2 linked regions of the Pelodiscus sinensis genome follow. The protein of the gene in region 1 interacts with the protein of each later gene in a pairwise test. Links are inferred from orthologs where the notes say so. Each region holds a gene or a part of one and is shown in the gene's direction. Other genes may lie near its edges.

Region 1 (15,662 bases):
TCCATAGCATGACATTCAATTTTTATGTGTGAGAATGTGGTTCCCTTTTGATATATCATTTCCTGCTTGATAAAATGCTATTTACATCCGCCCTCCTCCCTCCTCTCAACCTTTCAGTCATAAGATCAACTTAAGATATACTTTTCAACTGCCACCATCCCTTCCCTCTCCCTGGTTCCTTTTCTTTCCCAGCATATGGAGCTGAATAGTTGGCAAGGTCCATGAGCAGCATTTTGGAAGGTTGTCTCCCAGAAAGGCCTCTGTTGGTGGACCTGCTAAATGGGCTTATGGTTGAATAGAAAGATTAATTTGCTGTACTAGGTTGGTGCTGTACTAAGGTCATGCCTAAGACAGAGAGCGAGAGACTGATCAAACTAAGGGTACATCTATACTGCGTCACTATTTCAGAACACTGGAAGTATCCTGAAATAGCAACACCCCATCTTTAAAAGCACCTGCTATTTCCCAAAATAGCAGGCACGCTATTCCAGCGCCCCTGTAACTCTCATTCCATGAGGGTTAAGGGATTTGTCAGAATAGTGCCTTATTTTGAAATTTGGTGCTGTCTACACAGCGCCAAATTTCAAAATAAGCTCTTTCAACCAAGACTCGGAATAAGCTATGCAATTTGCATAGCCCAAATTGTGTATCTTATTCTGACCAAAGGGTGCTGTTTAGACATACCCTAACTTGTAGATTTTTTTCTGAGGACAGAATGGTGGGAAATATCTTGCAGGTAATTATTGACTTTTCTTTTGAAATCAAATGCATTTTGCTGCATTGTGGTTGAGAGAAATAAAGGCAGCAGATTCTATCTGCACATCACCCTGATATATAGAAGGCAGCATTTCAATCACATCTATCTATTCCATGCTCATCCCTGGTATCTGAGCTGCTGAAGCCCCAACACCCCTAGCAAATGCCTAGCAGTTGTTTGAGTGCGGTGATTCCTTTCTGAGACTGCAGAAATTGACAGCCTTATCTCCATGGCTCCACCAAGCAAGAATCCCACTGCAACTCCACACACCAAAGACAAATACCATACATCAGGTATTTGTGATCAGATACATGTCAATCTGTATGTTTGATTTGATCTGTGATCTCTCACACACAACGAAGAGTGCTTGATGCCTCTCAGCAGATGAGAGTAGAGAAAAAATATTAAGCCCCCATTGTAAAGGGCATGTCTTGATTCTTCTTGATTTATGACGGGCCAGACAGAGCTAATTGGCATACATCCCACAGATGTTGTTTCCAATCAAATGTAAAATGTGTTTAATGAATAGCAACTTTCGCTTCTCACAATCCCATGTTTATTTTTAAAAGATAGACCTAGATGCTAGGATTTTGATTAAAACAATAGAACGTTGTTTGGAGATGAACATTGTTTATGGAGGCTGGATAGTTCTCCCCCAGGACAGAGTGATGGCATGAGGTCTGTCTCCCACCTACGTGCCATTTAAGTCATATTTTGAGGATTCAGGTGGCACTTAAGCAGTATATATGCTTTTTGCTGGCCTTCTGCACAGGGAACTTCACCAATATATTGTCTTTTCAGTGTTTAATCTGGATTATGCAGCCATAGGACAAGAAGCAATGGGCTTAAATTGCAACAAGGGAGGTTTAGGTTGGACATTAGGAAAAATTTCCCAGTTGTCAGGGTGGTTAAACACTGGAATAAATTGCATAGGGAGACTGTGCAATCTCCATCACTAGCAATATTTAAGAGCAGGCTAGATAAACATCTATCAGGGATGATCTAGATCAGGGCTACTCAATACGCATGTAGCCCATGGCCCGTTTGTGTGCAGCCCATGGTGTGGTTTGGGTTTACGCGTGTTATGCTTAAATGAAGCACACAAGATCTTTTATGGGGGAAAAGGCAGTGCACTGCATTTATTGAGAATGCAACAGTTGCATATGCTTTTCAATCATTCACACACAAACACCATACACACACACAGTCCTGCCAGACAATGTTATAGTTACCAGTCCAGAGTCTGGATCAATCTAGTGGCCAGCCAGACTGATCACAGAGGGGGAGCTGGACTCTGTCTGTCAATCATAGAATAATAGGACTGGAAGGGACCTCGAGAGGTCATCGAGTCCAGCCCCCCGCCCTCAAGGCAGGAATGCTCCTGGAGTTAGTGGCAAGACGAACCCAAAGTTCCATAGCAAAGCACCCTGCTTTTATAATCCTCTTTACCTGTTGAAGTCTATGGATTTCACTGTGTCAGTCTGTGACCAGTTACTGTTATCTTGTCGATGTTAATCATTCCCAAAACATCTCCAAAAGGCTCATCCTGTCCTGGATGTTAATCAGTTGTTTTTAGGGATGTCTTTACGTTTAGAGTCGTCAATCTGCCAATCTGATCAATTCTTGACCAGGGGTACGCACTGATGGTTTCTCTGATGCCAATATGTCTCTTCGCAGTCTGTCTTTTACAGTTTGTCTTCACCCCACATTCTCCCCCTTCTCTCTTGACCATCTTGCTCTAACAATGACCTTCACACCATATCTCATTCATACAATCAGTCTTTCACAGAGTACAAACAGCAAAGTTTTATATTGAACAAAAGCAAACAGCATTGTAAATAGCCTTACTAAATTTTGTAATTAAAATAATTCACACTGAAGGATCGGGCCTTCAACACTCCTCTAATCTCATTGACATAGACACAATATGAGATCTTGTCTCTCTACTTACTAAACTTTAAAATATATATATATATTACTAAAGGGCTTAGTTTAATAAAATATTAAATGTGATACTATGTTACCTTACATTGCTACATTATTAATCCTAAAATACAAATATAAAACGAATAAAACTTTCAGTTCCAACATACGGAACTCAACATGCAGCCCACAGGTGGGATCCTTTGAACATGGCCTTCACAGGGAACACGCTTCACAACGGCGAGGCATCTCCCATGTGGGGTGAGCACTGAAAGACGCAAGCGGACGGGCTGGCTGGAACAGACGGGTGCAGGGTGTCGGCATTTCTATCCCCCAAGGAGGAGGTGCTGGGAGCACCAGGGCATTGTGGGACGTGTTGGCTGCTTAGCCTTGTGGGCAGAGCCTGAGAGGTGCTGACTGACTCACACTGGCCACGTTTGGGTCCGGCGCCACAGCTTAAGGCTTAATCTCTGTATTCATTCCCGTCAGTGGGAAAGAAGCAATTTGCATTTATATTTGCCTATATATGCAACCATACTTAAGTTGCAGCCCTTGGCATGTGCTGTGAGTATCATTGTGGCCTCGGGGGCTTCCAAAATTGAGTAGCCCTGATCTAGATGGTGCTTGGTCCTGCTGTGTGGGGAGGGGACTGGACTTGAAGATCTCTCAAGGTCCCTTCTATGGTTTTATGATAGGGCCTGATTGAGAGAGGTGGAATGAGGGACCATGGAGGCTGCAAGTCATCAGCACCTCTCAAGATCAGAGATATAGTGTGATCGTGTTGTGTTGTTTAGTGGTTACAGCAGGGAATAAAGGTTTGTGGGTTCTGGTCTTGGTGGTGGCATGACATCACTGCCCACAAATCACTCCCCTGCTCTGTACCTTAGTTAAGTTACCTGTAAAATGGACATAAGTTAAAGAATATGTGGCCCACAGATGGTGGGAAGCCCATCTGGTTAGTGTTTGTGAACTTATTCCAGATCTTCAAATGAAGGGTGCTGTCAGGGAACAACATACTATATTTTTGCTTCAATTGATCCCTTAAAATTAAAGAGTACTATCCTGTGTTTGTGACTTTGTCAACCAAAGCTTAGTCCCACTCTTGAGAGATTAGCCTGGGCACCTACAAATCTATTCTTTACCCACATTGATAAAAGGATACCTTTATCCATTAAGGTTTTGTGCTTGACAAAGAACAACACAGGCATGCTAAACTCTTAGCCCTCATACAGATGAACTAATATGCTTATGGAGCTATATCAGGACAGAGTAAAAATAACTCTTTGCAGAAATAGTCCGAGCAATAAGACCACCTACTGGATCACATCTGCTCGGTACTGAAATAACATGCATCAGTCAGAAACGGAAGATAAGAAAAATGCTGCAGACAAGATGAGAAGCTTTCATACCCAAAACAATCCATTTTCACCTGAGCCTTTCCTTCTTGATGAAACAGGACAGGTGTGAGCTACCAAAATCATTTTGTTTCATTAGAGTAAATAGAATTACCTGTAAGGATTAAAATAAAATGTCATTATAGGGCCATGCTCTGAAGCTTTTAATTATTTTTTTAGCCATTTAAATCATTTTTAGACATTGTACAGGAGTTTTGATTGAATAAAGAGTGAGCAACATATGATTTAGAACTTCAGGATTTGGACCGTTGATTGTAACATCTTCATTTATACATTGATATATTAAATCAATACTACTACTGAATATTATCATTGCTAATACCAAATAGCTCCTTTCATCTAAAGATCTATAAATAATTTACAAACACTAAGCCTTCTCCTGCTTTAGCTTTGAAATGCAAAAAACCTGATGCCGACCTTTACTGAAAGAGGCAAGCCCACCCCAACCGCAAGACAACTCTGCAACTCCTCCTCTTCCCTCCAGCTTCCACAGCCACTTATGGTAACTAGAGAGATCACACATGGGCTGTGTCTAGACTGGCAAGTTTTTCCGCAAAATCAGCTGCTTTTGCGCAAAAACTTGCCAGCTCTCTACACTGGCCACTTGAATTTGTGCAAGAGCACTGACGTTCTAATGTAAGAATTCAGTGCTTCTTGCACAAATACTTTGACGCTCCCACTCAGGGATAAGCTCTCTTGCACAAGCATACTTGTGCAAGAGGGCCAGTGTGGACAGGCACCTTAATTTTTTGCGCAAGAAATCCCGATGGCTAAAATGGCCATCGGAACTTTCTTGTGCAAAAGCGCATCTAGATTGGGCCCAGATGCTTTTGCACAAAAGCACTTTTTCGCAAAAGCATCCATGCCAATCTAGACGCTCTTTTGCAGAAATACTTTTAACGGAAAAAATTTTCCATACTGATAAAATTGAACAACATAATTTTCTTATTTAAACTGCTGAAATGGGAACACTGCAGCATCTTTGGCAGAACACAGACACATTTAACATTAGATATCCTAAAGTTTCAGAGTGATAGCCGTGTCAGTCTGTAGCTGAAAAAAACTTAAAAAATAATGCATAGTCTTGCAGCACCTTAGACACTAACAAAAAATGTAGATGGTGTCATCAGCTTTAGAAGTGGGTCGTACCATCCACAAAAAATGAGGAGTACAGGATTTGTGTCAAAAATGCCCCATCTAAACTGCCTTTTTTTTCAAAAAGAACCATTTCGAAAAAAAAGCGGCTGCCACCATTATGCAAATGAAGCGTGGGATATTTAAATCCCCACTTCATTTGCACTTTCGATATGTCTAATTTACATCCCTCTGCCAAGAGAGGGGTGTAGTTTAGACACGGCCTTGACTGGCTCCGACCAATGATGCATCTCATACCTGTCTCTCGCAGTGGTCAATGCCACCTATTTCAGAGAAAAATGTAAGAACCCTGCAATTAGCAGAAGTGGGGTGCACTTTCCCCCATATAGGTCTCATGCTGCTGCTCCTTCATAGGTAGAAATTGGCTTAAATCCAGAATCATTCATGAGACAGTGTTAAATATGGATATACTTATACTAGCTGGTAACTCATCAGATTGTATGCATGTTTGATGCTATTCTGTCTTCTTCTATCACTCTCCTGGTCACCTCTTCACTCATCCAGCCTTTCTCCCAGTTCCCACAGCTCTTGAGCCGCATGAGGCTCTTTGCTCATAGAAATACAGCTCTTATCGGGGTTACCATACATCCAGTTTTTTCTAGATATGTCCTTTTATTCCCATGTTAAATTGCCATCTGGCTGGCTTTTTTAAAACACAAAAAAGTCTGGGATTTGAGAAGGGAGCACCTGCCTTCGAGGGAACGTTCGACTGTCTTTCAGAGCCACGTGCCTGGACAGTTCATGGCTGCTCTGCGCACACGCCCCAGTGCCTGGAGGGAAAAGCGTGTGGCTGCGGCGAGGCTCCAATGAGACCCAGGGTGTTAATAAAAGAATAAAAGAATCTGGGCTGCCTGGCTCTGGGGGAGGAGTGGGTGCATTAGATTAGAGTGAGGGCAGAGCCATTTTAGAAAGTTTTATTTTATTTTTTTAATGGCCTCCCTCTCTGCAGGGGTAGAAAAAGGGGGAACCAGAGGAGCCTTGGTCATTCCCAGAGAAGTTCACTTCACCTGTGAGATGCCAGCAGGCCATAGGCAAGGGCTGGGGAGGAGAATCCTTTATTCCAAACAAACTTTGAAGAAAAGCCAATCCCTTCTGGAGGTGAAGATGGCTCTCTCAGAAAACACAAGGTGAAAAACTGCAAGTTTGCATGGTTTGGGTACAAAAAAAGGGCATTTTGTTCCAACTGAGACAGAAATGGAATTTGGTATTTTTCAGGGTCTACATAAAAGGGCACAAGAAATTCAATGCGAGAAACAGTAAGAATTTCATGCAACCTGAGTGCTAATTGTCTTACTGATTTTTCTTCTGTCCATGCAAGAAAGGAATGCGTTTGGCAAGCTCTGACTGAGATTATTAATGGTCTGTCTGTGTGTGTGTGCGTGCGCGTGCAGATGCGTGTACCTTAAAGGGATGAAAGAAAAATCTCTTTGGGGGGCAATTAAGTTTAGGAAGTTGGAAAAGAAAAGAAAAGAAAAGAAAAGAAAAGAAAAGAAAAGAAAGAAAGAAAGAAAGAAAGAAAGAAAGAAAGAAAGAAAGAAAGAAAGAAAGAAAGAAAGAAAGAAAGAAAGAAAGAAAGAAAGAAAGAAAGAAAGAAAGAAAGAAAGAAAGAAAAGAGGTAGGGAAATGAAAGGAAGACAGATAGAAAAAGGGGAGAAGCCCTGGCCAGCGATCAGAGAACATCATGCAAGTAGGAGGAGTTTCCATGGCAATGAAGAGGTGACTATTCCACTCCCCAGTGCATCTGTCTAGCATCCTCCCCTTGCAGAAGTGGGGCAAGGTGGGCTCCTGTCTAGGGTCCAGGTGCGGGGACCTTGCAGTGGCCTCCCTCCCGGCTCTGCAGCACCCTGCCAGCTGCTGCCTGCAGTGCAAAGCCGCAGCCCGGTGCAGCACCATTCCCACTGACAGCTCCTGGGAACCGGGCTGGGAGAGGCGGGCAGCTGCCGGCCAACCGAGCCTGAAAGCGGCTCGGCGTCACGCCCCCTCCAGGCTCCCCACTCCATCGGCTAGCTCCGATTGGGCCGCGGCGGCTGTCACTCAGGCTCCCCCGCCGGCGGGGCGGATGGGTTAGGCTGAGCAGCAGCCGCGGCGGCCGCATCCTTGCGGTGGGCAGCGAATCCGGGGCAGTGGGGGACAAGCGGCAGCAGATGTCCAGGCGGCGGAGGGGGGAGGGGGGGCGGCGGGGAAGCGATGCCCCCCAGGCCCGAGGAGCTGCAGCCATGCAAGGCTCCAGCATTTTGCATCACTCCCTGTTTCTCCTGAGCAGTGAGTACCAGCGTTGGGGGGAGGGGGGAGATGATTAATTGCATGAAAGGGGCCCCCTCCCGAAGCGCAGATGCAATCACTGCAGCTCAAACAGAGGGGAAAGTTGGGGGGGGATAAGGGAATGACCTTCCCTTCCTCCCCTCTCCCCCTGCAATGAGTTTGTTTGGATAAAGGATTCTCCTCCCCAGCCTTTGCCTGTGGCCTGCCTGCATCTCACAGGTGAAGTGAACTTCTCTGGGCACTGACCAAGGCTCCTCTGGTTCCGCCTGTCCTGCTTTTTCCTTGTTTTCCCCTTTCCATTCCTCTGCCATTCCTCCAAGAAGTGGAAGTGCAGCTCCGACCGCCCACCCCAGCTCGTCAGCATGAAGAGGTGCAAATCGGATGAGCTGCAGCAGCCTGAGGAGGACTGCGCTGGGGCTGAAGATGCTCCCAACCTGGCTGCCATGGATGCCAAACCCGGGGATTGTGCTTCCGCTCTGCCCGATTCGGGCGCCGCTGCTCACCCAAACCCTGCTCCCCATCCTGTTCCCCGGAGCAAGCCTCCCGATTTAAAGGTAAGCCTCCCAAGCCACCGCCTCTGCAGGTATTGCAAAGGGACTTGGGTTTTTCCTGCATGCTGCTGGAACACAAGTTCCATCCAGAGATTCATATGTGGTTTATTATTTGCATGAGAACTTGACTTTCTAGTTGAGGAGTAGTGATGATTGACACATAGCAGTATTTTCTTTTAGGGTTCCCCCATTGTACTCCTCTACCCCTGCTGTGTACAAATAGGTATGTTATGTGTTTTTAAGCCTATTCACCAAAATATTTTATTTAAAAAATCGTAGCTTGTGGATGCTACAGAGGTATTGAAAGGGCTGTGGTTTATGGGACATGAAGAGCAAAGGGACACTAGTTGTGAGTTTGTAAATTGATGTTAGTCTTTTCTTTAAGAGAATCAGTGCTGAAGAATAGTCATTCATACCCCAGCTTCTGATCCAGTTTACACTTTCTTGATTTAATCTGGATTATACTAATGTCACTGAGATCAGAATCTGGTGATCTCAGCTAAAAAAGGTCTGAAACCATGCCTGCGGCGGGCCTTTCTTGAAGGATGAGGGACTGTGGCAGGGCCCATGTTCTGCAGAGGAACTCAGCAGATCATGTTAAATAAAACCCAGGGCAGCAGGTGTGAAGGAGCTAAACTAGAGAACACCCACACCTTGTCTGCTTTAATTCAAGTGCAGCTGCAGTCAGAAAAGTATGTAAAAATGCCCCCTTCTCACTCCCAGCGCTGCCTTCTGTGGGTCACACCTACATACTGGCAACAATATGTTTTTACTAGCACTGCAGAACTGGTACAGCTCTGGGAGAACAAGCTGGGTTCTGTTTTGCCTTGCACATCACCATCAGAGCTACTGGCTAATCAGTTCCTATTGGTCACCGACATCAGTGCAAGAGGAAGAAAGGGCACTGCAGGAGGTCCCCCTTTGGAGCAATGCTGCTCCGGAATCATTGGAAAAGAGGGATACACGGGAAATCTGACTTGCTTTATTTTCGCAGAGGCAAGTTTTCTGACTGTGACTTCTCTTCAAATTCTGCAGGCACTGCAGTGCATTTCACTAGATCTAAAACATGTTCTCACCCCGACTTGATAAAATAGTGCACCCCTTATTCTAATAACACTGACCCTAGAGTGATTTTTTTTATCAGTTTCAATGTGTTGTACAGGAGGTATGTGTAATTAGCTGCAGGCAGGGAAACTGAGGCAGAATACCAGGGCCTCGGGTTGTGTAAGCCATATTTCATTGGCTCCAGAAAAGCTGCAGGGATTATACCTGCTGATGATCTGGCCCAGAGAGGTTAAACACCTTGCCCAAGTTCACACAGTGGTGGATGGTACCTAAGTGTCATGACTTTTAGTCCAGTGCTTCATCTCTATTTGCCAGTGTCGCCAGTTACCCCAAGGCAGATGTGAATCAAAAATGTCCATTAGGCTGTGTAATGTCATTAGGCAGGTGCCTCTCTTCCTCTTGGAGTTGTGGAGCTCTCGGCTTCTCTGTCATTGGCTCTTTCCAGTTGCTGTTGTGCTTTCGGATTGAATGCACCTGTCACTGCTGCTCTATGAACAGCAATAAAAGAGCTGCTAAGAGTTATGCATAAGACAGATGACCAGAGCCCCCGGTGGTATGCTTACCCCACGTGCTTCCAAAGTGGCTTTTGCTGGCCGACTCCTTCAATGGACACTTGGCCTTCTGCTTGCATGGCCATTCGAGCAGCTCCATGCATGCCTGATCCAACTGCTCAGCTGTTCAGACTGGCCTGCAGTGAATTGGATGGGGGCAGAAAAAGGTGAGGAGGCACGGAAACGTAGGAGAAGGGACCAGGGAAACAGAGCACAGGCTGAAGTGGGTGGCAGGACCCTTCCAAAGAGAGCAAGGGGGAAAAGCAGGCAGGAGAGGGAAAGATGGAGAATAGTTACGGGAGGCAAGAGCAGCTGAGAGCGGAGATCAAGAGACACACACACCAGGGCAAGCGAGCCCATGTCATCCCCAGCTAGTGCATCTCATCCTGAACTGGAGCAGCCACTTACCAGGACTGGGTGGGGAGTCCAGTCTCAATGGCTTATTTAGTCCTGGCCTCCTGTACTGAGACTGCAAGCTACGGTGCTAATTATGGTGGCTTTGTCCTGTGGACAACTGTGCACTGAGACTCCTAGGCCCTCCACCAAATAACTTCATAGCAGAATAATTTTTGGTCACCAGTGACCTATGCTGGACGTGTACCGGTAACCTGGAAAAAAAAGGCTCCCTTCTGTTCTCTCCAGTCTCCTTACTTCTCCAGCCCCTTCTCTGCAAACGCGTGGTGGTTTCCTCTTGTACAAGTATTAATCCAGTTCTTTTGGTATGAGCAAGCTTCCCATGACCAAAAAAAAAAAAAAGAAAGAAAGAAAGAAAAACACTTAAGAATCCTGGCAAGAAGCAGAGCAGATGTGTGACACATAATTCTGCTTAAAAATATGTTGGGTGGTAGATATTTCTGAGCTCTGCATCAACATGCCGCAAAAGAAGGCATTCACATCTTCTCTGGAAGAGATGGTAGGCTGGGTGTCCTGTGGGGAAGAGATCATAAAGGCATTTTGCCCCTTAGATCTCATTTCTGTCTTCCCCAGGCAGCTGTGATCTGTGCAGATTCTCTCTGGTTTTTTTCCATAATTGCCTGAGTTTGATGGCCACAGGAACCAGGGTCTGAATGTTGAAACCTGTCATGGTTTTGATCTAAAATCATCTCTGTCGTCATGGTCCCCGCCTCTCCCCTTGTGTTTGACCTTGGAAGTGAAGAGCAGCTGGGAATCTGAAGGCTCCACTTGAGTTCCACTCCTCTCCCCAGGCCTGATCCCAAGCCCGTGGAAAACCTCCCCTTGCCTTCACGGAGCCCTAGCATAGCCCACTTGTGTGCTGCTCCGGGGTGTCAAGGAAGTGGAAAGCAGCCAGGTCCTCTCTGCACATTCCCACCCTGCTGCAGGAGCATTCCTAACAGGTGCACAGCCAGTGTAGACAACTCCTTTGTCGCGCCCCCTCCTAGGGCAATGGGAGTGGCCAGCTTACACTGCACCATGACGGTCTCCTGGAGGCCTGAGCCTGTTGGCATAGATTAGAGCAGTCCCTGGGCAGGGCATAGCTGAGGCTCTGGGCTTGGAGCTGTCAGTGCCTAGCTGGGGATCCCAGACTTTAGCACTTACCTCCCCCACCTTGGTCAGTGTATGGCCATCAGGGCATGGTGCTTTTCACCCAGACTTTTCTTGACAGGGTGATGGACTTTGTGAGCAAGATTTAACAGGCAGGGTCCCATTCTGTGTGGGCTGGGCTGGGCTTTAGCCTTGTTAACTTGGCATGAGTTTGTAGCAACAGGGTTGAAAAACTGAATAATTCGTCTTCCTAGGGCAAAGCCGTTGCTCCTGCTCTAGGGTTACACCCCTTGCAAACACAGCCTGATCTAAAAAAGCCCATTGTAGTCAATGGAAAAAGACATAATTGGGGATTGGATCAGGTCCGTGAAGCCACACCCTACAAACTAAACTCACTTTGAACCTAGACTTCACTGGAGAAAAAACTCTCATTGGGGCCAAACCCTGAACTTTTGACTCCACTTTTACTCTTGCTCTTTTATTCCTTATTCAGGTAGGTCTGTTTTTGGGGTACAAAGGGACCCATTAAGAGTCCCTCTCTTTCCCAACTTTCTAGATTGCCCTCCTAGGCCAGGTCTACACTAGGAAACTGTTTCAAAATAACTACATTGGACTTAACTCCCGATTTTACGAAATCAAAATAGCATGTCCCCACTATGGAGAAAGCCTCGAAATGAGTCTGAGGCAGGCTCCATTAATGTGGATGTGCTGCCTCCACTTAGAGCCCCAGGAGGCACTGGGGAGTAATTAGTTCGAATGACTCTGGGGAATCATTATTTCGAAATAGCAGCATCAGAGCAGCCACATTAACACTATTTCAAAATTAGCGTTATTCCCCAAGAAAAGCAGGAGTAGAGATTTTGAAATAACGGGCGTGGTCGTGTGGACGCTCCTCTTGTAAATTAGACCTAAGGGGGTTATTTCAAAATAAAGCCCTAGTGTACATCAGGGTCTAGAGAACCTTTCAAGACCCCTTCTTGCAGCTTCGGCCAGAGAATGTCCATGCTCCTGACCCAGGAGTTGCCCGCAGGGGAAGCTAAGACATTCCGCCCCCCCCAAAAAAAGACATTATCCCTAGATATACTAGAATTCACTTCCTTGTCCCAGCCATTTATGTGAATTTTTTGGTTTCAAAGGACACCGTGAAGGTGGGTTATGTCCCTATGGTTAGATGGCCCTGAACAGAAGTGCCCCAGTCACTGGAAAGTCCAAATTTACCAAATTCATCTTGGCTCCAGGCATGGATCCCACCAATTCCCTTTGCCTCACTCATGCGCACACCAAGCGCTACATGGGGGACTGTGCTACCTGCCTCCAGCTAATGTAAACCACCATTTCAGAAGTGTGGGGGTGTGAGTAGGTGCTCAAACAATTGCTCAAAGGCAAGAACTCCAAGCAGTTAATTAATACCACCACAACATTCTTCGGTATCATGTCTCATGGGGAATAGGTTAACAGGTTTGGCGCACATGTTCATTGCACAAGTCTGGAACATCGAGGTTCTGGATTCAGTTGTGAATTGCATCACACGTGACGTGAGTTTGGGTGGTCTCAGCCTGATGCCAAAGAACCTTGCACTGCATGGCTATGGGCTCTGCAGAGGGAAGCTGTATTTCCTTTCCCTAGTCCGGGTGGTGATGCAGTGACTGAATAGCCATTGGAGGAAGCTTGCACAGTGCTTCTCCATATCAGCCTCTCACTGCCGTGAGCATTAACGTTTCCGTGCCTTCATTGTGAAAGGCCTCTTGCTAGCAAAATTCATCTACCTGCCTCATCTTGGAGGAAGCCCCAGGTTAACTGAACCTTCCATGGGACCTCAGATCTCTTGGGCAACTTGCCCTTGTTCCTTCATGTTCTCTTTTCGTGCACCCTGCCTCACACAAGAGGAAATTCACCCCCATGCAGCGAGTGGTCACAAAAACCAACGTGCCACTAGAATCCCACTTGAGCCTCCCAGAGAGGGCACCGGAGTCTGGGGCATAAGTTTTGGCCTGCACAGTGGAGAATTTCACCCACATGGTCAGGTTTAGAACCATGAATCTCTCTTACCCATTATGCTCCCTGCTGCCACCTGCTTTGAATATCCATTGCAGGGACTCATCTTTGTCCATTAATAACATTCCATTGAAGCCACCAGTGTTCTAAATGGGTCTAGTACATCCAATACTACAGAGATTTCATTCAGCCACACAGCAAGAGCAATTGACCTGCTTGAGCCTAGAACAATGCAAATACAGGTACATTCAGCCTAAAACATACCTGCAACATTCATCAGCATCCAAGCAGTTACACCCTACAGAGAGGAAAAGTTTGATTCTGAATGTCTTTGGAGTCGGTTCAGAAAACAAATAGGAGAGGGTGAAATGCTTGGGGGCTGAGAGAAATTGCACTCCTTATGATACAGCTCTAGCTGTTTTAGGTTACGTCTACACTGTGCAGTTATTTCAGAATGAACTATTCCGGAATAGTTATTCTGAAATAACTTACAGGTGGTCCTCGAGGTACGAACACATCGACTTACGACCGTTCGTACTTACGACAAACCTCCCATTAAGTGCATTACAGCCGCTCCCCGAGTTACGAACGAGTGATCCACACTTATGAACAGCGCGGCCACATTTAAATGAATGGGGTCCGACTTACGAACAGATCGAGTTACAACCAAATGTTTGGTATGTAACTCGTTCTTAATTTGGGGACTATCTGTATTTTGAAATAGCATGTCTACACTGCAGGGAAGCTTCCCTAATGTAGACGTGCAATCCAATTTAGAGCCCTACGAGGAATAACTTAGAATGGCCCTGGTGAGGTGCTATTTCGAAATAGCAGAAGTGGAGCATCTACACACGCCTTATTTCGAAATAGCTATTTTGTAATAGGCGTTATTCTTCACAGAATGAGGTTTATAGAAGTCAGAATAAGCCATCCATTATTTCGAAATCACGGAATGGCTGTGTAGATGCTCACATAGTTATTTCGGAATAACCGTCATTATTCCAAAATAACTTTGCTGGGTAGGACACACCCTTAATGAGCAGGGGAAAAGAACATGGGCAAAGTTTCAATTGCTTTGTAGCCCTTCTTCAAATTTAACTTCAAGTCTGGAGTTTGAGCAGGGTCACAGCATTATTGAAAAATAATTACAGATGCCAAAGAGTCTGTGTTATATAGATTTTTATACTGCACTCATCACAGGCACATCTAAGCTCCTTCCAGTAATGCAATTGAGCAGTGTGTGTTACATCTATCACGTGTCTATTCTCTCAGCCTCACCTCCAGGGAAGAAGTGGGCAGAGAGGGGTATCATGTTTAAAATATATGCATATATACCTATTGGTCTGATTGATTATTTAAGTCACAGCCATGGTTTTATTTTCCGTATGAATGTAGTGCTGGTGATAGGCAGCAGCCGTATCTAGTTACACTTCCGTATGGAAAAATTTCCCATAGGTCCAGTTGTTTTTTTGGAATTGATCAGTGGTTCTCCTGGGGTTAACCCCTCCTCCAGCTGAAACATGTAGGAAGCCAATAGGAATCAATTGAGCAACCAGCAAAAGCTGAAGAGACCATTTGAAGGGCTTAATGGGGGGCTGCCTGAATTTCCACTAGAGCCACTAGCTATTCCTACACTGGCCTGGCTCCTGCCCTCTCAGGGTTAGAGATGAGTTAATTGTCCATGCACATGTAAGCTAAGACGGACTTAAAAACTAAGTTCTCTATTTGGGATGCTATTTACCCCTGGGAGAGCACCAGAGCCTACACTGCAGCTGAGTCCCAATTAGGGCAGGAAAACAGCATGGCTGAGGGAATCACTTGTAGACATGGTAGACGGGAGGTTAGGGTTGTACTCTTTTCTCCTCCCCGTGCCTCACTTTCCCTTCACAAGCGGTGTCTTTTTCAGTTTAGTTCTTTGGGAAAAGAAATATCTCCCCCTATACGTGCCTAGTGCTAGCACTTTGGGGCCCCAGCCCTGATTGAAGCCTCTAGGTTACGGGCACGTCATCTGGAGATCGACATTTTGACATTCGATGTAGGGGGTCAAGTATAGATCCATAAATCGAACGCTGAGGGCAGCTCCGGCTGGCACCTGTACTCCTCACAGTTGCAAGGAGTAAGGGAAGCCAATGGAAGTGTTAAGTGTAGATCTGGCCTTACACTTAAACTGCCTTTAATACAGCTGTCTTTGATCCGGGAAGATCTGTGGTTTGGATCCCCCCACCAGATGGCCCTTCTGTGCCCCCACCCCTAGTGCACTCCAGCACTTCCCTCCTAGACTCCACCTCCCTTCCACCCCAATAATAGTTTAAATACAGTGCATTAAGGATTTATCCTGTGCTGTGTTATACATGTACAGTACTGTAAAATGGTCTATACATTCAAAAGCTTTAATAATAGACTAGTAATGTCAAATACTCGTGGTCTGGAAAATGCCATGATCTACATAGCCTATTTCCCAAGGCTGCCAAATTAAAAGAGGTCT
Region 2 (15,434 bases), on another chromosome or scaffold:
AGACGTAGCCTCAATGTTTAATTTTCGCACCTTTTTTGGGTAAAGGGCCACCGACCAACAGAAAATTTAGTTGTGAAGAACACACCAATGAGAAAGAAAAAAACAACCCACTGGCCTGGACCTAAACTGAGAAGCAGGGTTACCAGGGCTCTGCTTGCACTCCAGACTTGGAGGAGAGGTGCTGAGGCTGACTTGCTGCAGGACTGGAATGTCAGCACTAGCTCACCCTGTTGCAGCTTGAAGTCCTGAGATCTGCCAAGGACAAGGCTGTATTAACTCTTGGGGCCTGGAGATTTTATGGCCCTTCCCCACCTCCCAGGCTCCAGAGTAGGGCCAAAAATGAGGGGTTCAATGTATGGGAGGGGGCTGCATGTTGAGGCAGGTGTTGGTGAGGTCTCCACTTGGGCTATGGGGTAGAGCTTGGAATGAGTTGCTTGGGGTTCAGGAGTGGGCTCCAGGCTGGGGCCAAAGAGTGGGCTCAAGGCAGAAGGTTGGGGATTGGGATGTGAGACTGGAGAGAGGGTTGGGGTGCAGGGCACTTACCTGGAGCAGCTGCTCCTATTTTCGGGGGGGGGGGGGGGGCCTGCAGTTCCCATTGGCCGGGAATCATGGACAATGGGAGCTGAGGGGCAGCACCTGCAGGCAAGTGCAGCTCAGGGGACAGCTTCTATTGGCGCTCATGGCAATGCAGCTCCAATCTGGGGAGGCAGAGGAATGGCAGCGTATGGGGCTGCCTTCCCCCTCCAGAAAGGGCTTGCCTGGAACATAAGGGCTGTGACTACATTGGCGTGATCTTGTGCCAAAGTGGTCGCTTTTGCGTAAAAACATGCTGCCTGTCTACACTGGCGAGGAATTCTTGCACAAGAACACTGACATTCTAATGTGTGAAATAGTTCTTGCGCAAGACGCACTATGATGCTTCCGCTCAGGAATAAGCCCTCTTGCGCAACTGTACTTGTGCAAGAAAGCCCTATGACTAAAATGGCCATCGGAGCTTTCTTGCTCAGGAGAGCGTCTACACTGGCATGGATGTTCTTGTGCAAAAGCACATCTCTTGCGCAAAGGCACATGCCAGTGTAGATGCTCTCTTCTGGAAGACTTTTTGCACAAGAACTCTTCCGCAAAAGAGTTCTTGTGCAAAATCATGCCAGTGTAGATGTAGCCAAGGGCTTTAGTGGCTACAGCCCAGGGCCCTGAGCCAAGAGGGGTCCCAATCACTTGCTTAGCTGAACAATGTTAGTGCTCATGTACTCCTGTTGAGACCAGAGAGGAAAAGCGTGGTGCTTGAACAACTTTTCCTGCTTGTTATGTTCTTAGACTGCATGAGCATGATCGGAGAGGGAGGAAAGACTGGTGGGTGGGTAGTTTAAGAAGAGCTGTCAGTCATTCTTGTTTTTCAGTTAGGAAGCACATTCCCAGTGTGGTTGGGAGTATGGGTCTTTGCTGACTCCCTCTTATGCAGAGGTGGGCAAGAGGCAGTTAGTGGGCCAGATCCTGCCTGCAGCCTCCTCACCAGAATCCTTACTACACAGCAGTTCATGCTGCTTTAAACAGCTAGCTGCAAATTGCTCTAAATGCTGGGAGGGATGGGGTTGCTTCACGTGCTGTCTCTGCCTCCTAGCAAAATCTTTCAGGTCCCATTTGCCAGTTTCCAGAAGGAAGCCGCCTTCTTCCCTCACTCCCCCTTCCCTGTCGTGGAACAGAGCCACATGGAGCAGCTAGTCCAGCAGCCAGGCATGGAGCCATTATCAGATTCCTGCAGGGCTGCTGGATGGGAGCTGCCTAGGTAAGTGCCTCCTAGCCAGAGCCTGCCTCTGACACCCCACCTCTTCACCCCCCCAACTTTCTGTCCCAGGTCACAACCCAAACTATCTGCACCTCCTTTCCCCAGGTAACAACTCCCTCCCAGACTTTGTACTTTCTCCTATACCCCTCCCCTAAGACAGAATCCTCCCCTGCCCAAGATCATAACCTCCTCCTTCACTCAAACTTCTTTTCAGATACCACATCCCCAATGCACCCCTGCTCTCTTCTATACCCCATCTGCTGTCTCAGACCCAGCACCCCTGCCACAGAAGTGTGGCTCTTGATGATTTACCAAAATCTTAATCCCATTAATCCCCCGATTTTAATAATTATTGCCCACCCCTGCTCTTATGGGTGCCAGCCAGAGATAGGATAGGTTACAGAGCATCCCTTGGAGCCTGGAATTTCTTTGAATTATTTTCTTACATATGTGGGTTGAGTCGCCCTTGTGGTTACATGGAGCTAAGACATTTCTGCCCTTGGAATGTTCTTGAACTCCTTTTAGGCAATCTGATTCATAGTTTGGGAACCAGTATGTTGTAATATCACTTGGAGTGGGCGTTGACTAATCTGAGCTAGGGTTGGCAGGATTTGTAACGAATGTTTGTAGTGAATGATCTCATTTGTGTTATATGGAGTTATATAACATGATTCTACAATTTCTTTTAATTGTAAATCAAGTCTTAATTCTGCACCTGATTAATCTTCTTTCTGCAAATGGATAGTAAGCTCTTTATGGCAAAAGCACTCTTTGTGTAGCAGTTATCTTGGAGCCCTCTAGCAATTACTGCAATACAAATAGGAATTTACATTTTATGCTTGCTGTGATGGATTTCATCTCGTGTGTGTGTGTGTGTGTGTGTGTGTGTGTGTGTGTGTGTGTGTGTGTGTGTGTGTGTGTGCGCGCGCGCGCTCTCGTTCCACTCAATCTGCCTGCTTGTCCTCTAGGGCGCCCCACTACCCTGTCATGCTGGGCCAGAAGCTCTTATCTCCCCTAGCCAAAGCACAAAGCTGCAGTAACAACCGCTTAGGAGAGCTGAACAAATTCCATTCTGAGAGGGCTCAGCTATAAGACTGGTGATCCAGGAACACAGCCCTGAATAAATCCATCTTACTCTTTATAAAAGTTTTCCACAGCTCATGAGATCAGCCCTGTTTATTAATGAAGGGAAGATCTGCATGGTGGTTACCTCTGTCAGGTAACAATTACTTATATTGAGCTTGATAATATTTTATTCAGTATAAAAAGGTAGATTGTAAGTGACTGAAGGTGACAACAGGCACACCAAAATAAACAAAACATGCCAGCTAATACACTAAGAAAATTGTTACATTCAAATTCTTACCCTAACAGTTCTAATATTTTTCACAAACTAGACAGCCTCCTAACTTGAGCCAAGTCCTTCCAATTGTTCAGTCTTAGATGTTTCCAGCAGCATCTTGGATGGTAAGAAGGGGATTCCTGGTCTACGTCTACACTGCAGAGTTTTTACGCAAAAGCTCATGGAGCGTCCACACTACAAGGCTACGTCTAGACTGGCATGATTTTGCAGAACTACTTTTAACAGAAAAGTTTTTCCGTTAAAAGTATTTCCGCAAAAGAGCGTCTAGATTGGCACAGAGGCTTTTGCGCAAAGGCATCCGTGCCAATCTAGATGCGCTTTTGCTCAAGAAAGCTCCGATGGCCATGTTAGCCATCGGGCTTTCTTGCGCAAAAAATTAAGGTGCCTGTCTACACTGGCCCTCTTGCGCAAGTATTCTTGCGCAAGAGGGCTTATCCCTGAGCGGGAGCATGAAAGTATTTGCGCAAGAAGCACTGATTTTGTACATTACAAAGTCAGTGTTCTTGTGCAAGTTCAAGCAGCCAGTGTAGACAGCTGGCAAGTTTTTGCGCAAAAGTAACCGCTTTTGCGCAACATCTTGCCAGTCTAGACTCACCCTAAGTGTGTTTTTGCACAAGAGTTATTTCTCTTTCTATGAGGAATAAGTCTTTTTGCACAAGAGCTCTTGCACAAACAGCAATGTGTGGATGGACAACGGGTTTCTTGCGCAAGAAACCCCTATCAGAAAAAGCACAGGTGCTCTGCTATTCACAGAATGGCCAATCAGAGCTTTCTTGTGCAAGAGAGTTCATGACAGTGTGGATGCTTTCTTGCGCAAAAGCACATCTCTTGCGCAAAAGCACATGGCCGTGTGGATGCGCTCTTGCACAAGAAATCTTCTGCAAAAAGTTCTTGCACAAGAAGCCTGCAGTGTAGATGTAGCTTTGGTGTCTGGCCATTTGGTTTCTTGCTTTTAAAATCCCTTTTTCCCAAGGTGGAAATTCTTTGTGTGCAGTTCAAACTTTTCTCACCTTGAATGGGAAAGTACAAGACCCAAAATGGGTTCCAGCATTAGGTGACTGGGGCACATATCTTTGTAGGACCAACTGTAGCTTGAGCTTACAGGAAAAACAAACCCATTTAGTGTCTTGAGTACTGGGCCTTTGTCTCCAGAGTATTACCCTGGCCCTCACTAGCACATCTAGAATTATAAACAGATTCACACTTCATATTTCTAACTTTACATAAGAATGATACATGCACAAAATATACACATTATGTTGCAACTTTTAAAATGTCACGTGATGCATTTTGCCTAAAGTATCTTAAGCCAGTTTTCATAACACATGGAGAGATTGTGACACTTGCATTTAAAACAAGTTGAATTGCTGCTATTCTGGTTTTAGTCAGTTTTTTCCTCACTCATGTTCAACTAATCAAATTATTAATCTGCAAATTAAAGCTAGAAAATAAGAGGTTATGTCCCAACTAAGGAACTCTTGTAAGAATGTATTGCTCATGACATAATTGTAGCTATAGGTTAAGTAGAGATGCAAATTTCCACAATTTCTAAATATACCTGCAGTGCTGTTTCACATACTCCTGTAAATTTGAACTCTTACCATGATTAGAGTGGGCTTCATGTCTGAAGTCAGTGAGAATAAAATGTATGGCTTTGCATTGTGATCTGTAGCCCAATGACTAAATTGCTTGTAAATCACTCTAGATGGAACTTTGGCATCTGAATGCTTTTGAAATTCATAAGCAGTGTTCTCCAATTATAGATTAGTCAGTATCTCAAAATACAAAATATTTTAATTATATTTTATGTTTTCATCAACAGGCTGAAAGTGAGCTCTCTCTAGCAAGAAAAATGGCCCAATGGAAGCCATGGGAACCATTAGTTGAAGAACCTCCTACTGACCAATGGCGATGGCCAGTGTAATAGTTTTATGTCTAACTATTTGAGAACTGAAAAAAAACCCTTAATTATTGATATCATGTTAATAAAAATGTCTTTAAAGAAAATGGCTTATGTGTATAATTTATTTTGCTTCAATAGCTATTTAAATGTAGCAGGATGTAAAAGTCCAGTCTGACTTTCTTGGGCTTTACTAAAACTTTGTTTAGCTGTTACTCTGATTTTTTTTCCCTAGCTTGCTGATTTAATTAACAATATATTAAGTAGAAACTTTCTTCTTATTCTTTTCTGATTCATCTAATTTTCACATACCACTTCTTGACACTTAATTACCATGGCTGTCATTTCACATCTCAGACTGTGGTTTAACCAAAAAGAGGAAGGGGAGAACTACATTTTACACACAGTTGATGAGCCACAGTGAGATAAATACAGATGAAACTGTGTGTTTGATACTTTTGACTAAAAATGGCACATTTGCAAAGCCATTCTGGGGGAGAAAAAGCTAAGAATGACGTCTGCAAACAAAACTATATACAGGCAGTCCCTGACTTACGCGGATCCGACTTATGTCGGATCCGCACTTACGAACGGGGCTTTTCTCGCCCCAGAGCTCACGGGCGGCGGGTCGCCACCCATGTCTTCCGGGGCAAGAAAAGCTTCTCCCGGTCTCCCTGGTCTGCTGGGGGGGTCCAGCAAAGCCGCTGGACCCCCCCCCCCCCAGCAGACCAGGGACACCTGAGCAAAGCCGCCACCTGGGCGGCTTGGCTCGTTTGCTCAGGAGCAAAGCTGCCCAGGCGGCGGGACACCCGCCGCCTGGGCAGCTTTGCTCCTGTCCCCCTGGGGGGGGGGGGGGGTCCAGCAAAGCCGCTGGACCTCCCCCAGCAGACCAGGGAGACAGGAGCAAAGCCACAGGGGCGGTGGGGTTCCTCCGCCTGTGCAGCTTTGCTCGGGTCTCCCTGGTGTGCTGGGGGGGATGGAGGCGCAGCTAGTGCGCCCCCCCCAGCAGAGCAGGCTTTTGTTGCAGGATGCCTTGGGTAGAGCAGCTGGGGTGCTGCCGGGTTGGTCCTGTAGGAACCTACCGGGCAGTGCCCCAGCTGTTCTGTCCCAGGCTCCAGATTCAGCAGCTGTTGAAACTGATCAGGCTGATTCCAGGAAGCTGGGGGCAGAGCAATTCTGCCTCTGGCTTCCTGTAGTCAGCCCCTGGTCAGTTTCAGTGGCAGCAGCTGAATCTGGAGCCAGTTCTGACTTACATACAAATTCAACTTAAGAACAAACCTATAGTTCCTATCTTGTACGTAATCTGGGGACTGCCTGTAACTATTGGAGACAAAGTACTGAAGTGCCAGTACTGTTCCACACATTTAAATTTACTTTGATAGTGTGCTGGTAATTTTTAAGGACCTTAAGAATCAGGATTATACTAGATAGAGCATACAAACGCATCTGTAAGTCAAATGCAAATAACTTACTTTTCAAATTTTAACAGTCCTTTACCTAAGCCAAGACTTAAAACTAAGATCCCAAACTACACAACTTGGAGTAAGCTATTTGGAACTTATTTCATGTTAATTATATATTCTAAGGTGGTTTACTTCTTGGGGGAGGGGATAACAAGCCCAAAGAGTCAGTGATAGAGGAATTTTCAGTATGACTTTGGACATGGAAAAATCTGTGAACAGCACACATGGCTCTGTGTTGTGTGCATTCAGCATGCACCTCATTTAATGTGCCCTTGTTTCCCATGCATGTCATGGTAGTAATACTGGTAGGAAAAATATTTGGTTGGAAATAAGCAGAATCTGAAACTAAAATGGTATTGTAGTGGTTTATAATGAATATGGAATAATTCAAGTGTTAATTTAAAAGACTTCATAAATTAATAGATCATAAGTCACATAATGCCCACTAGTCTATCTTTACAGAGTAACTTGCATACTGTAGTCAAGATAAACATAATTCTTACGATATTGTTAGTGACAAGTCCCTTAGGGTTCAGTTCTGCTTCGCCTGTAAAAAGTAAAGCACTGCTAGGTATAATGCAACCACTACCTTATGGCATCTGAGCACTGGGTATAACTGCACTCACCGGTATTTCTGGCTCACTTCGATAATGTACTTAATGAGCATCACAATGATGACGACCGATGAACGGTCGCATTTTCAAAAACGTGCACGCACAATGCCGTTACCATGGGGTTTGCACCCACAAGTCAGGTGGGCGCTTGCATCTGTGTGTTCTGCAACGGTGCCGCTAGAATCTAAGCTGCCTAACTAATCACAAACACGCTCTCAGCGCCCCCGGCTCACGCTTCAGTGCGGTGGTGACCAGAATTTAGAGAGAGTCTCGCTGGAGGGCGCGCCAGGGTTTTTGTTTTTGACAGGCCGTTGGTCTCCCCCTTGCGCTAGGGAACAGATGCGTAAGCTGCGGAGAGGCTAGAGCAGAGCCTGGACTACAGCGCCGCGGAGCCCTTGTCTCAAACGCAGGTCACTACGGCTCTGCTCTGTTCTCAAGCCTTCGGGCCAACATTGGCCCATAACGCGCATGCTCCTACTCTCAGCCCCCTCCCTACCCTGATCTCGCGAGAATGTGTAAAAGTTCGAGGTTGCCATGGCTGCAACCACAACGCGCTGGCGTTCGAGACTGAGAGGGGGCAGAGGCGTCTTGCCCGGGAAGCGGCGCTGACGCCTTGGGGCTGAGGTAAAGGGGGCTCGAGCAGGAGTATAAGCCGGTCCCGCATGAAGGAATTACAAGGCGCCGGCTGGCTCAAAGTCACCTCGGGAAACGCTGCGTCTCCCAGCATGCACAGCGCCGCTACCGCTGTAGGGTTAAGGAGGCGGGGCGGGGGGGCGCCTCGAATGCCAGGAGTGGGAGTCTGACGGCTGCATCTATAGAATGGGCTCGGTGGGCTGTGGTGCATTCTGGGTGTTGTAGTCCCGTTGGTGCATTTTGGGGTCCTTACCAAGCCGCAGTCCCAGTCCCCGGATAAAACCACGTTAGGGGTTTAGTGGGACAGTCTCCAAAGGGACAGCCTCCCCATGTTGCTGCTCGCCCAAACCCTACCTGCCCTCCTCCGTCCTCCCCGTGTGTGAGTCTGGAGCTGGTATTGCTGCTTGCTTGAGTCTTGCCTGCCCCTCACCAGAGCTCGCTCTCTCCCACTCCCAAGCAGGGGGCTGGCATCACCACGTGCACCCCACACATTCTTTCACACATGACTTTTTTGACAAAAGTAGGTAGTTGTCCCATTTGCTCTTGACAACTTGATTAGTTGGCAAAAACAAAAAGGACAAATTCCAGTTTTTGCCAAAAAAAATGTCTGAAAGGCCAGAGCAGTGCTTAATGAAGGGACTGTTGTGGCCAAAAAAGGATATAATGTCACCCTGTGCATTGACATCTTTCATGAGCTTGGTATAGTGACTGCCCATAAAGGTATCACAATACTGTATCAAAATGTCATCAGGTTCCTCAGAGGGAACTCGAGACATCCCTACAGATCCACTGAAGTTGATAGTGAGACTAGAACACTGATAGTTGAAAAGTCACTCTGAGATCCTTCAATGTATCTCAGATAATTTTCCTGTGTTGTGTACATGACAGATACAAAGAAACAATGTTCTTTTGCCTTAGGCACCTCAGCAAGGTCTCACTGATTGGATACTCTTCAAAAGGACAACAATGTGATGATTCCAGTGTGCATTAGTTCCATTGCTTCTGTTACCATAATATCCGACCAGGTAATTATAAGAGGCTCTGCTCTCTAATGGAATTTTCTCAGTGAAGTCTTAATTGTATCAGGGGAAAATTTTACCAAATAATGGCTAGGCTATTGTGTCCCATGGTTAGTGAAAACAGTTGGAAGGACTTGAGGCCACTGTTGCAAGGATTAATAATACTTTACTTTTTGAACCAAAGATCCAAGCCACCATTAAATAGGCAGTATTGTGACTGACACGGCAAAGTATGTTTGGTGATGTAAATGTTGGGGATAGGTATCACTATGAAATTTTAAAATAAAAAACTGTGAATTATTCAAGCAGGAAACTTAAAAATATATAATCTTAAATTTCAGGAAAATGGCTGATCCAAAGGAGGTGGTTGATAGCCACAGTGAAGCAGATAAAACTGAAGTATCAGACACTGAAAAGCAAATGATAGATCTCACACACAGAAAGCCACCAGAAGAAGATGATACAGAGACCGATCACATTAGCACTGCAGAGACATCGGTTCTTCTGAAAGCAAGGACAGATATATCACAGTCAAATGAGGATGGACTACAGAAGGAGCAGGAACCAGCTCCAGAGACTTGTGGGGAGGAACCGGAGCAGGAACCCACTTCAGAGGCTCATGAGCAGGAACCAGGTCTTGAGCAACTAGAGCAGCCAAAGGTAGAAGGGCAGGAACAAGGTCTTGAGGAAGAAGAGCAGGCAAGGGTGGAAGGGCAAGAACCAGGTCTTGAGGTACAAGAGCAGGCAAAGCTAGAAGGGCAGGAACCAGGTCTTGAGGTACAAGAGCAGGCAAAGCTAGAAGGGCAGGAACCAAGTCTTGAAGAACAAGAGCAAGCAAAGGTAGGAGGGCAGGAACTGGGTCTTGAGGAACAAGAGCAGGCAAGCATAGAAGGGCAGGAACCAGGCCTTGAAGAGGTTAATGATCTTGCTGTGAGCAATAAAGAATTGCTTGAAAAAAGTGAACAAGGTGCAGCTGAGCCAACTGCTCCATTAACTAAAGTGACTGAAGAAATTTCTCAAATTACTACAGAAACATTTGTTAAGTTGTTAGCAGCTGAAATGTACAACTTAGGTAGGAGGCAACTGGATGATTTGGAATCTGAGAGGTCCTTACCAGAAGCAACAACAAATGCTACAGCAACAGGTATAAAATTTGCTTCACATAAAAATTGGTTGTTACTGCCATATTTTTACAAATGCTGTGTTATATTTATTCACAACCTACCAATGGTTTCTTGGCTTTTGCTCATTACCTGATTGAGGCAACATGGACTCCATCCAATATTTGATATTTTTGAGGTAAAAATAAACTTTAAACCATATTGCATTAGTAAAAATTGTGTTACACCATATCTACCTGCTGAAACACCAGATAGATCAAAGTGATATTTTATTCCTAACCTGGTAGCAAAAAGTGTTTTATATATCAATCCCTGTTTCTCTGTTGAGAATTTTCTCTTTATTGAGAACTACAAAATAAACTGTCATTATTGGCATGCCAGGTCACACAGCACTGCTGCTATTGATATGTTTTACATTCTGATTTGTTTTCATTTTGTAATTTTGGTGTAAATTGTTTTAAATGTAACATTTATAATATAAATTTTATTTCTTATATCTAGATATATGTACACACTATTATGCACATCTACTATATATTTAAGAGAGTTTGTTGTGTGTCACTCTGTGTGAGTGTCTGTCTGTTTGTTCAAGAATGCCTAAACAGTAAGAGCTATGACCACAAATTCAGTATACAGCTTCCTCTTATTATAACTTAAAGCCAGATAATGGTTTGGTTGTGCCATGACAATGGGATGTAAATGTAATGGGATTGCTTCTCATAAACCATGTAGAAAAGATCCAGAATCATCAGTCAGGTGAAAGGAACTGTCTGGGGGAGCGGAGGGGATGCACTCCAGGACTGCTCTAACTTTAAGCCTCTCCCCAGCATCCTTTACAGAGGGCAGGGGATACTGAAGCTCCTCCCTCCCCCAATTTGTATGAGAACATTGCTGACTTTTCCTCTTTGTCAGGGAATGAGGGGGAAAATGCACAGTTTGCTGCATTCCTCACTCTGGCTGGGGAGCACAGGGGACAGATAAACCTGAACCTGCCCTAGCCAGTGGACATGCATCCCTCCCCTGACTGTGCCAACTGGACCTGCAGCAGCCATAGAGATATACTTCTCACCAGGCCCCAAGGTGCTGTGATGGAAGAGGGCTTGGGTAGTCCCTCTCTCCAGGGCAGCCTGCGTATTGAACTTTTCATCCCCAACCCCACCCCAGAGCAATGATCTAAATGAAGCATGTACATTTTCTTTTTATTTTTAAAAAAAAAACACCAAAATTAATTGAGGTAAGGACACGAGCAGTGCTGGGTAAATCATCTCGTGAAGCATATTTGGAAGAGGGGAAAAGTACCTTATGAATATTGGAAGAGCTGAAATTCAGTTCTTCAATCTAAATCAGTTTCTCAAAGTGATCCACAAGACCTCTTTGAGAAAACAGTTAAATGGCTGCTGCAGTGTGTTTACTTACTGACATCATGGCCATAGAGTCTCGTGGCTCCTATTGGCTCCATTTCACTGTTTGCAGCTGAGGGGAACTACAGGAAGCGGTGTGGACCAGGTCACTGGTTCCTGCAGCTCCTCCTGGCTGCAAATGGTGAAACGGAGCCAATAGGAGCCACGAGGCTCTGTGGCCGTGGTGCCAGTAGGTAAACATACCTGAGCAGCCAGTTAAAAGGTTTCTCAAAGTGGTTTCATGGACAACTGTGAGAAACACTGGTCTAAATAAAAGGATTTATCATCCATTCAATTTATATAACAGGAATTGGTATCTCTGTTTATTTTCCTCAGTTAAAATCATGTTGGTTCCTGATATCCAGATGATCACAATGGCTTTTAACATTAACCAGTCCGTAGGGAAGCTGAAGCAATACTTTGCATCACAGCTAAAAGTACCACAGGATGTCTTACAGGTCGTGTTTCAAGGTACGGAGCAAAGATTTAGTAAAAACCTTTCTTTGTTTTTCAGCCCTATTAAAAATCATAAATGATTAGGCCCTGATCCTGAAATTGGATTGTCAGAGGCAGGCTTTGGGGAAGGTCCACAAGAATAAAGGAGTCTGTTCATGTGGATCCAATGGCAGGATCATGACCTTACTTTGTACTTTTTGTAAGAATATATTTCTGGCATATATTATATAGTAAATTGAATAGACCTGGTGTCAATCACTAAACAGGTCTATTGAATAAAATTTGCATTTGTACATCAACTACTTCCAGAAGAACCATACTTCAAATATTTTAGTTGGTGAACCAAACACAATCTTAATATTTTTCAAATACTGAAACTATATTTTTATTATTATACACCAAAGATTTTCCTCTAACATTTCATTAAAATATCATGTCTGGGCTGACCCCAAATTTCAGAGTTACAGATACTTTTTTTCTTCTTTAGAAAATGTTACAACAAATGAAATCTTAGAGTGTATCTGATTTAATAGCAGAGAGCACATATACTCAGCAGGGCTAACGTCAAAATAAGCTACAGATCTTGAACTATGTCAATTGTGTAGCTTAAGTTGAAATAGTGCCAAAAGCCAAAATAAGCTATCTACACAGCAGGAAGTCTGAGAGAGAGCACTCTTCCTCTGACTTCTCTTGCTCCTTCTGAAATGAGAGTTACAGGACTCAGAGTAAGAATTTCTCCAGCTCAACATTGCTTTTACATTATGTTGAATAATTATTTGTAGTGTAGATGCGAACTATGTTATTTTGGAATAACGTAAGTTATTCCGAAATAACACTTGTGTAAACGTACCCAGAGAGCTAGGTAGGACTGGAAAAGAAATAGTTGGTGTTTTGTGGTTAAGGGCACTAGAAAATGAGTAAGATCCAAGAGGTAGAGGCTGCTCTGGAAAATTACTAATTTTAATATTTTTTCCTTTGTGGCAATGACACAGAGTAGGCGCTTTTCCTGGCATCTATTTCTCAAAACTTGTTGCTTGAGTCAGTTTTCTCTTTTTTCTTTTCCTGGAGGAACTGCAGGATAGACCAGAGATGACCAAAAAGTGACACAGAGTGGCTCCGTGCTGGGAGACAATGGAATTGGCAGGCTAGGCTTTTCAAACCTGTTAAAGTTATATTGGGATACTTTATCAAAACCAACTGAGACCTAGCATACCCAGGACTCAACTCCATGTATTTTAGTACTATCTTTCCATTAAGCAAGATGTATTTGAAATATTGCATTAAAATTAAAGACAGTTTGTATCAATCTGAGTTAGTGTTTAAACCACAGGTCTGCATCAGATTATGCATTTCAGCTTTCTGGCCATTTTGTTTATTGTGCACCCACATCAAGTTTGAAAATAGAAATATTACATTTACTAATACACTAAATCTTCAATGAGGACAAAAAAGTAACTAATGTAAAAGCTAGAATTTTAAAGAGCTATTTAACAAATAAGGTAAGTAGATACTTTAATTTCTGTGCCTTTTTTCTTGAAAGTGAATATGATTTTTTTTCTCTTTGTATGATTGTGACAGAGCTACCTAGAATATCTTTTGGGCAGAAGTAACACAGACTTTCCTAAATTGAGATTAAACTGACTCAACACTCATGTTTCGCTAAAATAATCTGTAGTTTTGATTTCTTCCGAGGAAAATGCTTGACAGTATCCTCTTTTATTAGAGAAGAATGCCTTACTTTGTTTGTTTTGTTTTAAAGGGAGGCTGATTGAGGATGGTGAAACTCTAATGCATATTGGAGTTAGGCCTCATGGAACTATCCAGATTGAAATGTTTTCTCTTGATCCAGAACAGTACCCAATCAAAACAATTAAACTGCAGCAAGACTACAACATGCCTGATGTCATAACTGTGAGAGTGCAAACAGGTCAACAATATTTTTCAAATATGCATTAATATTAATATTTGTGCCATATTGTAATCAGATTACTTACAGAATAGTATATAATTGTATTTAATTATTATATCTGAACAGATTCTGACACATTCCAGGATGTAGCAGTAGAGATCGAAAGGCCTACTTATCGTAAGCCATTTCTGGGTGGATTTAAACATAGGGTAACAGGCGTGGAATTTCATAATGCAGGATCACAAACAGTACCCAAAAAACGACGTGACAAAGGAATTGAAGTATTTTGCAGGGAGACACAGGTAATTTTTTAATGGTCTTTCATTTAGAACATTTTTTGCTAAACAAAATAGAATATTGACATGGTTGTCAGAAATTAAGCTGACTGGAGAAATAATTGAGCACAAATAAGTACAAGGAGTCCTGTGGCCCCTTATAGACTAACAGATGTATTAGAGCATAAGCTTTCGTGGGCAAAGACCCACTTCATGACATACATCTGATGAAGTGGGTCTTTGCCCACGAAAGCTTGTGCTCCAATACATCTGTTAGTATATAAGGTGCCACAGGACTCCTTGTTGCTTTTGCAGATCCAGACTAACATGGCTACCCCTCTGATACATAAATAAGTAGTCAGACTTAAAAACAAATAGTTAATAAAATGAATTTGCATGATTTTAAGTAACTGTATTTCATTCATTTTAATTTGAAAAAATACTAAAATCCGCAGCATAGGTTATGTCATATTTTAACATGAATTACGTTTTTATTCCAGACCGTTGTGGAGAAGAATAAACGCCAACAGACTATAAATACAACCTCCACACAGATGACTAAAATTGGCCTCTATGTGTCAAACATGACTGACAAGTTAAGAAGACCAAGAACATATCTTACTGCAGAAGAATATCATAAACGTAGACTAGATGCAGTAAGTTCTTCTCCATATATCTATAAAATGGCATATTAAAGAGATGATTGGATAAGTGTTCAAAGAATGTGTTTAAAGATGAATGGCAAAAATCCTGTTAATTTTTAAACTTTGTTTTTATGATTGTTAGTGAGATAAAGGAAAAGCATGTATCTGCTAATTTACAGTGTTATCAGTGTTGTATTTTAACAACATTGAGATAATAATTACTTACTGCACATCTTGAGAAATGTGATCAGTGGACTTTGTGGATTCTTTCTCAGAATGAGTGACTCCCTGATTGCTGTGTATGGAAGTTTGTCTAAACATGTTTTCATTTCCTCAGCTTTCTCATAAAGTTTTGTTAGGCATATTGTATGCATAAATGTGTGGCTACATAAGTTGATCCATGGCAGCACCATGATATTTAAATATGCCATTCATCTTTAAACTTGGTGCACTGGACTGAAATTTTGGAGATCTGGGTTTAGTTCCTGGGTCTGTTACTGAGTGACCTTGGACATGTGACTTCCCTGTTCTGAGCTTCCGTTTCTCCACTGATCTCTTTTTTTGTGAAGTGCTTTAGAATATACTGATGAAAAGTGTTATATAAGATCTATACAATATTATGATTTTGGTTAATGAGAGTAGTGAACATCTTGTGGAATTAGGCATTGAATACGATTGCCCCTTAGGCCTGCAGTTTGTTTTAGTATGCTCTTTAATAGCCCTTACAGAAATTATTAAAGAGTGTGCAAATGGTGTTATGTAGACAATTTTAGTTACATTTTCCAGTTTTCCCTTGAAAGAAAGGCACACATTTTTGAAGATTTCTTCCATAATATTACAAGACAGGTTCA

What was found.
Region 2: the proteins of TMCC2 (region 1) and IQUB interact in a two-hybrid assay, tested with the Homo sapiens proteins (2 studies listed by BioGRID and IntAct). The two-hybrid records come from large-scale screens. The link is inferred for Pelodiscus sinensis from reciprocal best matches to the Homo sapiens genes TMCC2 and IQUB.

What each region holds. Positions count from the first base shown.
Region 1 is NC_134737.1:7,326,074-7,341,735, reverse strand, and holds the start of TMCC2 (transmembrane and coiled-coil domains protein 2), read left to right. Parts: upstream 1-7,317; 5' UTR 7,318-7,512; exon of another isoform or gene 7,513-7,700; 5' UTR 7,701-7,874; coding exon 7,875-8,066; intron 8,067-15,662.
Region 2 is NC_134711.1:40,752,352-40,767,785, forward strand, and holds the start of IQUB (IQ motif and ubiquitin-like domain-containing protein), read left to right. Parts: upstream 1-7,158; 5' UTR 7,159-7,536; intron 7,537-7,603; exon of another isoform or gene 7,604-7,750; intron 7,751-8,677; 5' UTR 8,678-8,784; intron 8,785-9,119; 5' UTR 9,120-9,123; coding exon 9,124-9,922; intron 9,923-11,635; coding exon 11,636-11,770; intron 11,771-13,514; coding exon 13,515-13,682; intron 13,683-13,790; coding exon 13,791-13,966; intron 13,967-14,439; coding exon 14,440-14,595; intron 14,596-15,434. Other genes in the region: NDUFA5 (NADH dehydrogenase [ubiquinone] 1 alpha subcomplex subunit 5), read left to right, coding at 4,972-5,073. UniProt on the Homo sapiens protein: Adapter protein that anchors the radial spoke 1 (RS1) complex to the A microtubule of outer doublet microtubules in axonemes. The triple radial spokes (RS1, RS2 and RS3) are required to modulate beating of the sperm flagellum.